Callithrix jacchus: one gene and its partner. The protein of the gene in region 2 purifies or fractionates together with the protein of the main gene of each other region. This does not show direct contact. Links are inferred from orthologs where the notes say so. Each region holds a gene or a part of one and is shown on either strand. Other genes may lie near its edges. The genes, in order: ACAD11 and GTSE1.

Region 1 (3,811 bases), on a different chromosome or scaffold from region 2:
AAAGATAGGTATTTATGTGGATGTATTACCTGTCTTTTGCAGTACCCAGCACCTATACCATATCCTTCCAGCTGCAATGACTGTATACTCAAGGAATGTAACCGAGCCAGTGTTTCTACCATGGCCACATACAAGGCTGAACGTTCTGCTGGGCTAACTTCAGGCATTGTTAAATCACGAAATATTCGACCCTATGGAAGTGATTACAACAGATTATTTAAATGTGTGCAACCAATACTTTGCAGAATCTACTACAAAAACATTCATTTGTGAAATATATTTAATATTAGAGTATATGTGCCAAAGGGAAAATACAAGGATATGCCAAGATGACTATAAACATCAAAACTACTCTCAACTATTTTAAAGAAAAAACTTAAAACACATTTTGAATTTATTGTTCTTAATGGCTTAAACTACGTGAAGATGCGTTTTCCCTGCTACCTTATAGACAAGTTGGTTATTGCCATTACATATAGCTCTTTACTGACACCTAGAGGAAAATTTAAGAAAAATTCAATACCTCTTACTAAATTTGTTTCTTGTCTATTACATCCCGCCCTTTGTAAGTGCTCACATTTGAACAAAATTTTAAGCCTTTGCAAAGCAATCTAATTACCTAAAATGTTAAATAACAAACTATATCATTTATTAGTATCATAATAAAACTTCATGTAATAAAACATCCTAACTTCATAATTAAAAGTAAAAGCAACAACAAAATAAGATTAAGTGTTAATTTACCTGCACATGTTCCATTATGTAAAATTCTGTTCCAATGACAGACGTATCATTGCAGTACAGTATAGGCTTGGGAACGGGGAATCCAATTGAAAACAAGGCTTTCTGGACCTTAAATTCTCTATCAATCTAAATAGGATGATGAATCATTAAAAATCAGAGAAATTGATTTAATTGTAATTAAGTTTAATACCTACTCATGAGCTAACCTTAAGGTTAGAAAACAACTGTAAAACCGTATCAACAAATAACCCAGAGGATAATAGTAATAATAATTTTCCTAATAGTGGTCTTGGTATAATCATGATTACAAATTAGACCACTGCTAAAAAATGTAATTTTATTTTTTTTGAGACAGAGTTTCGCTGTTGTTACCCAGACTGGAGTGCAATGGCATGATCTCGGCTCACCGCAACCTCCGCCTTCTGGGTTCAAGTAATTCTCCTGCCTCACCCTCCCGAGTAGCTGGGATTACAGGCACACACCACCATGCCCAGCTAATTTTTGTATTTTTAGTAGAGATGGGGTTTCACCTCGTTGACCAGGATGGTCTCGATCTCTTAACCTCATGATTCACCTGCCTCGGCCTAATTAGGATAAGAAGATGAGCACCTGCATGAGACTTAATACTAGCTCTGATAATGCCAAGGCAATAATGTTCACAATATTTCACATATTTTATCATAAAACATCCTTTTGTCCTCAGCAGTTCCCTGGCTGGCTGGTTGTTCTTTCAGGTCTTCCAAGGAAGCTCAGGTAAGTCTCTATTCTAGCACTCTACTGCAGTCAGCTAAAGAGAGCTGGGGGTGAGAGGTGGGTGGTGGTGGAAGGAAAAGTACCTTCCCTTTCTGGAGAGCATGGGAGGCATGTGTTTCCAGGGCAGGGACATGGGGATCTTTCCTGGCACTCAGGACTGCTGTGGAGCTCAAGATAACTACCAGGAAAGTAGGCAGCTGGAAGCAAACTGGAGCCCAAATAAGATAGTAGGAAGAAAATGGCTTCCTTAAGTAGGACAGATGCACAGGCCTATCACTCAGGACCCAAGGGAAGAGCTGTTGATGCAGGCGAAGTAAGGATGGCTCATCTGCATGTAATCAGTCACCTGGCCTCCGATTCAGACAATGGCGACTGACCATTCTAAGGAGGGGAAAGTATGCAGCTCATTTTGATATCAGGAAGTAAAGCAGCTTCTACAGCAGTAACTGGAACAGGAAACTAACGAAACCCATGTCCAAGGTGAGAGAAGCCAGGGGTATCAGGGGCTGTGGAAAAAAGTGTTTGTAACCTCTCTGGTGTTGGGAGATGAGGGGGAGGTGGGAAAGGGGGAGAGGGCAAGAGGGTTAGACAAGCAAAAGAGGATCACATAGGAGGAGCATTGCTTTTATCAGTGCAGCGTTGAGAAAAATGAAGGGAGTAGAAACAAAGTACTCCCGATCCTTGTACTTGGGCTGAGAGCATTATGCCCTGTTCTGATGTGTTCAGGTGGGATGTTTTCAAGAAAAGAGACAAATAAAGCTGTTTACTGGGGCATGGGTAGGGATTCTCCTTCAGCCATGCCATACTGAGATTTAATAAAAGTTACCCAACTCTTTTATCTTAAGCATCCAAGTTCCTTCATGTTTCTGGGAATATGATATGAGACCAAGAAAGTCCCATAGAATCTACATTTTTTAATACTGTGATATTAAGTCTACCCCACAACTGCCCTTCCCTAGTGAGCTGAGCCTGGGAATCACCTGCTGTACATGATTACAGTCACATTCTAAATACACACAGTGCTTTTAATGTTCTCCAGTACTTTGATTTCTGTCCCTTTCTGTTCTCTGGAAATCTATAGATAATAATGTTTTCTGAAGACAGAAAAACTTAGTTTTTAACAAAAATATTTTATAATTCTCACTGTCTAATATTTAGAGGGTACTGTAAAATACTTATTCAAATCTTTCTTTTTATCACCAAAAGATTAGAGGATTATCATAGCAAATATATTAAAATAATTCTGAGTAGATGCTATTATATATTATAATTTACATATATAACAAAACCAAAATATCTATAGAGGAGTAGCACTGAAACTATTCATTGGCTGATTTTACTTCTAGCCAACAGTGTAGAGGAAAATCAAATACACAAAAGAAGTGGGTATTGTTCAAGATTAATAGCCTAAAGATAAGCTTACATTTCAACCTCAAATCCTTTCTTAAGACAAGATATAATTAAAGGGAAATTTTCATTAAAAATAAAATGCATTTTATGTTATCTGGCAATCATAGAATGCCTTTTAAAAGTATATTGGCTTTGTGTGTATTAAAAACATTTATTTGTCACCAAAGAATTTAACATTACATTTGTATACTATACCTTATGTGCTTTAGGAAGAAGTGAACCTGGTGGTTTTTTCCTGAGCACATATGCTTGAAGGCCCTTCTGGAGATAAAAGGTTGGATTGGACTGTCCTGATCTAAATAACAGTAAAGAAAAGGTCAATTACAAAGATATATTTTCCTTTATCCCCAAATCCTACTGAAATGTCAGAAGAGAAAAATGAAAATAAATTCATCCCAGTGCTAGAAAATCAAGAGAGGTGCTATCAGCAGCTCACAACATGAATTTCTAGATGATATTAAAGCAGATGGCAACATACTGGCAGCTGAAGAGTCTGACCCACACAGGTAGAAGAGAGGACTCCACTTCCTGACTGCAAATCATAAGTTTTATTAGGAGAACCTGTAGAACAATGACTGATGTAAGTAAATAAAGAATCAGAGAAGAGATTTTAAATATCAGTCAGAAAATGAATTAAAGGATGCAGGAACAGCTGGGTTAATTCCCCTTCATCTGCCTTTAGAGAGATAACCCCCACAGATGTCACCAAGGCTAGTGCATGAATTCAGCTCTCTACAATGGGAGTTCTGAGAAGTGAGGTCCCACAGTGAGCATGTGGTCCAGGGAAGTGCAATGCTGGCCCAGCTAACTCACAGACACCAGGGCATTGCCTTTCCCTGCCAGATGAACAGAAATTCTCACCTAGACTAAGTATAAACACTTCAGCTACCAAAACTATTCAGTC
Region 2 (4,487 bases):
CTGAGGGCGAAAGCACAAAGAGGTCCCCGAGCAGGTCTTGGGGAAATCAGCCTCAGAAGACGCTAGAGCCAGAGCCTGCACAGAGACATTGTACACCAGCCAGAGGCAGGAGGAAAAACAACAGGGCCTTGCTGTCCAAGCAAGGGAAGCGTCCAGAGGATGAACGTTACCGAAAAACACACTCTGATTCAACAAGACTAGAAGAGTAACAAGAGACTGGGCAATGAACTGTTTTCATACAGCTTGAATGGAGTGATGAGGATGGAAGCTGGAACGGGAGGGGTTGAGGGGTGGAAAAAGTGACAGAACAAGTGAGAAAGCGCTCGAAGTTTGGCTTGGAAGGAGAAACACAGCAGTGGAGGCAGCAGAGGAGACGTGGCGACAAGTGAGACAAGGGAACGTATCCGAATGTGGAGGAGCACGATCCAGTGGACAGTGGAGAAGTGGGGAGAGGAAGCCAGGGTGACGGAAGTGGGGAAGGCCTTGAGAAGGAGCAGCGGGTGCAGCATGCATGTGGAAGGGACTTATTGGAAAGGGAGGACACGACAGGAGGGAGGACAGGGTGCAGAGGCAAGCGCCTCTCTAGATGAAGATGCAACGGTGATTTGCAAAGTCTCCAGGACAGTTCCTGCAAAATAGGGGCATTGAGGATGCTTGGGGCCCAGCCACAGGATCATGTCTGTAATCCCAGCACTTTGGGAGGCTGAGGCGGGTAGATCACCTGAGGTCAAGAGTTTGAGACAGCCTGGCCAACATGGTAAAACCTCATCGCTACTAAAAATACAAAATTAGCCCAGGTGCAGTGGCTCATGTCTGTAATCCCAGCACTTTGGGAAGCCGAGGCGGGTGGATCACGAGGTCAAGAGATCGAGACCATCCTGGCGAACCAACTTGGTGAAACCCTGTCTACACTAAAAATACAAAAAAAATGGCTGGGCATGGTGGCGCATGCCTGTAGTCCCAGCTACTCAGAGGCTGAGGCAGGAGAATCGCTTGAACCTGGGAGGCAGAGATTCCAGTGAGCCAAGATTGCGCCACTACACTCCAGCCAGGCAACATAGTGAGACTCCATCTCAAAAGAAAAGAAAATTAGCTGGGCATGGTGGTGGGTGTCTGTAATCCCAGCTACTCAGGAGGCTGAGGCAGGAGAATCCCTTGAACCCGGGAGGCAGATGTTGCAGTGAGCCAGGATCACACCATTGCAATCCAACCTGGGGGACACAGTGAGACTAGGCCTCGAAATCCTTGGATAGCGTGAGAATCAAAGGATAAAAGGATATGAAAATGCTTTGAGGCCAGGTGACATGACTCACACCTATAATCCTAGCACTTTTGGAGGCCAAGGAGGGTGGACTGCCTGAGCTGAGGAGTTCGAGACCAGCCTGGGCAACATGGCAAAACCCTATCTCTGTTAAAAATACAAAACTTAGCTGGGTGTGATGGTGGGCACCTGTAATCCCAGCTACTCAGGAAGCTGAGGTAGGAGAATCCCTTCAGCTTAGGAGGCAGAGATTGCAGTGTTGAGATCTCGCTACCGCCCTCCAGCCTGGGTGACAGAGCAGGATTCCATCAAAAAAACAAAACAAAACAAAAAGCCAAAAAAAAAAAAAAAAAACAGGGCATGGTAGCTCATGCTGTAATCCCAGCACTTTGGGAGGCAGAGGTGGGCAGATAACCTGAGGTCAGGAGTTTGAGACACGCCTGACCAACATGGAGAAACCCTGTCTCTATTAAAAATACAAAATTAACCAGGCATGGTTGCATGCCTATAATCCCAGCTACTCGGGAGGCTGAGGCAGGAGAATTGCTTGAACCAGAGAGGCGGAGGTTGTGGTGAGCTGAGATGGAGCCATTGCACTCCAGCCTGGGCAAAAACCTCGAAATGCCGTCTGAAAAAACAAAAACAAACCAAAAAACACGCTTTGAGAGAAAAAGAGGGTGTGGTCTGTAACTCATTTTGTGAAGCTGTACCCTCACCTTGATACCCAAACCAGACAAAGACACAAGAAGAAAGGAAAGTTTTGGGCCAGACTCACTCATTAACAAGGTCTCAAAGATCCTAAAAAGTCTTAGCGAACAGAAACCAACGACAAAAAAAGGAAACGTCGAATTCAATTCAACAAACGTTTGAGCACCCACAAAGTGTCAGGTACTGTTCAGGGCATGGGGGCACTGTGCTAAGTAAAACTGATGGGAATCCTGGCTGTGATGAAGCTTAAAACTGGGAGGAGGTGAAAGAAAACCAGAAAATACAGATGCCATGTGTTTCACAGGTGCAGAATACAAGGCGAACACTTGAGAAAGAAATAATTTCTCAAGGCAACATTAAATCAACCTCCATCTCTACTGAACGTCCTAAACAACAACAGCGCCGCAGCGGCAAGGACTTGCCTTCCTTCTTAGGGTCATCCACGTTCGCGTCCCCTACCCGGCAGGTTGAAGGCTCATCGCGGCCGCCGCCTCCTTCCATGGAGAGAGCTGTCAGAAGTCACTGCAGGGTGAAAGGGGACCAGAAGGTGAGCGCGTGTCAGGGCCCAGGGCTCCTGGTTCCTTCAGCCTTCGGCTCACAGGGGCAGAGAGAACTAAAGGTCGTGGCCAGGTCCGGGAGAGGCGGTGCGGGGTCGCTCTGAAATAATCGCATCCCAGGGGACCCCAGGGGCCGAGTGCCGCCAGGCCCGGAGTCAGCCCGAGCGCTATCGGACGAGATAACGGAATTCTCGGCTTCTGGGCCAGAGTGTTGGGGGCTCTGGTTGCGCGGGGGGGCAGCCCTGGACCTCCCTACATCCCAGACCTTGGTGCGAGGCGCCACGGTAACCCCGGCTCGAGCCCAGGCCCGGCTCCCGGTGGCACGCGGCCCCTCCCCGTGCCGAGAACGTCTGTACCGCGGGCACCTGGCCCACCCAACACCCTTCGCCCCCGCCCCCGACCCCGACCCCCTTACCTAGAGCCGCGACGACGCAGGACGCGCCTCCGGTACGGATTTAAACGCGGCGCCGAACGACGCGGGCTGCCGATTGGTGGGTTTGAAAAGGGCTCCGTGAGGCGGTGGGCCCGATGCATCCTGGGGATTGTAGTCGGGACGCCGGTAAGAAACACCCCGCGCGCATGCGAACTGCTTCAACGCAGTGATTGGCTCCGCACGGCGCGGGGGGGGGGGCGCTCCCACCCGGAAGAGCGCCTGACCTGGTCGCCTAGTGTCTCTTCGCCGTCCGCATCAGCCGGAACCACGTAGGGCAGCTCTTCGTGTAAGGAGAAAGTTAAAACTGCCACTTAAGGGTGTCGATGGGAAGAACTAAACCAAGTAGGCTCACCCACCTTCTGCGAAGCCGCGCGCGCCAGCTTTTACTAACACAGTAGTGAAAAGGCGCGGTCCCTGCCCGGGGGCGCGCACGGTTGCGCCGGGTGACTCAGGGACCAGGAGACTCATGGCCCGAGCTGCACAGTCTGTGCGGTCGGAGGAGAACCGTTGCCCTTCACGGGCTTCCCCAACCGCCAAGGCCTGAGGACGGCCGAGGGCGAGGCGAGAGCCTGTCCTGGGCTTTACAGGCCAGCTGGGGAGCTGCGGTGGAGGAGAGAGGCCCCCGGTGATGGAGCCTGCCTTGCGGAGTGCATATGCTGGGGAGGGGTGGGACGCAAATAGGACATCCCTGACCTGAGCCATAGAGACGCAAGGACAGGACTGGCCGACGGGTCAGTGGGCGGCAACTTGAGACTGACCTCGCTTTGCCAGCCAACCAGGTGTAATACCCAACTCGGGGGCTTGAGGATGGAATGAGGGGCTCCACCCAGGGCACAGCGTCACTAAGTGGGAGCTTTGATTATCCAGGACTGATGGATGGAGGAGGGTGCAGGAAGAGGGGCCTGGGATGACGCGCCGGGGAAAGGACGGAACTCCGGAGAGCACCATTTTCAGGGAGGAAGATAAGCTGTTTATTTGGGCACGTTCGGTGGAGAGCTGTCTAGGAAGCAGCCACCGGGGCCCCAGGGCAGAGGCCTTGCAGGCTGGCTGGAGCCACTTCCGGGTCCCATGTCCCTGGTTTTCCATCATCCACACCAATCACTCCATGTTGCTGTGCTCCTTCACCAGAAGACCCTGGGATCATAAAGGGCAGGCCAGCCCAGCCCAGCCCAGCCCTCACTCATCAGTCTCCCTAGCCCAGCACAGGGCAGCAGGCAGGGGCTGAGCGTGCTGGGGTAGGCGGGTGTGATCAAACAGCTTGGAAAGAGTTTGGCCTGCTCATCGCATTCGCCTCTCGGCTCGTCCTGGGGATGTCTGCTGGGAGAGTGGCAGAGGGATCCCCAACATCCACTCCTGATACTCCTCCCGGTATCATGTCAGCACATAGTAGGTGTGGCCTATCTACACAAAGTCATTTCTACCTTCCCCCAGTAGGATATGCCGTAGTTTGGATGTTTGTCCCCTCCAAATCTCATGTTGAAACGCGATCCCAGTGTTGGAAGTGGGGCTTGTGGGAAGTCATTGATCA

Evidence for each region.
Region 1: the proteins of GTSE1 (region 2) and ACAD11 purify together in Homo sapiens (co-immunoprecipitation; 3 studies listed by BioGRID and IntAct, counting the BioPlex papers as one, with this or other methods). This does not show direct contact. The link is inferred for Callithrix jacchus from reciprocal best matches to the Homo sapiens genes GTSE1 and ACAD11.

What each region holds. Positions count from the first base shown.
Region 1 is NC_133518.1:51,461,039-51,464,849, reverse strand, and holds part of ACAD11 (acyl-CoA dehydrogenase family member 11), read right to left. Parts: intron 3,203-3,811; coding exon 3,103-3,202; intron 871-3,102; coding exon 745-870; intron 192-744; coding exon 30-191; intron 1-29. UniProt on the Homo sapiens protein: Acyl-CoA dehydrogenase, that exhibits maximal activity towards saturated C22-CoA.
Region 2 is NC_133502.1:213,685,102-213,689,588, forward strand, and holds the start of GTSE1 (G2 and S phase-expressed protein 1), read right to left. Parts: upstream 3,003-4,487; 5' UTR 2,792-3,002; intron 2,492-2,791; 5' UTR 2,471-2,491; coding exon 2,392-2,470; intron 1-2,391. UniProt on the Homo sapiens protein: May be involved in p53-induced cell cycle arrest in G2/M phase by interfering with microtubule rearrangements that are required to enter mitosis. Overexpression delays G2/M phase progression.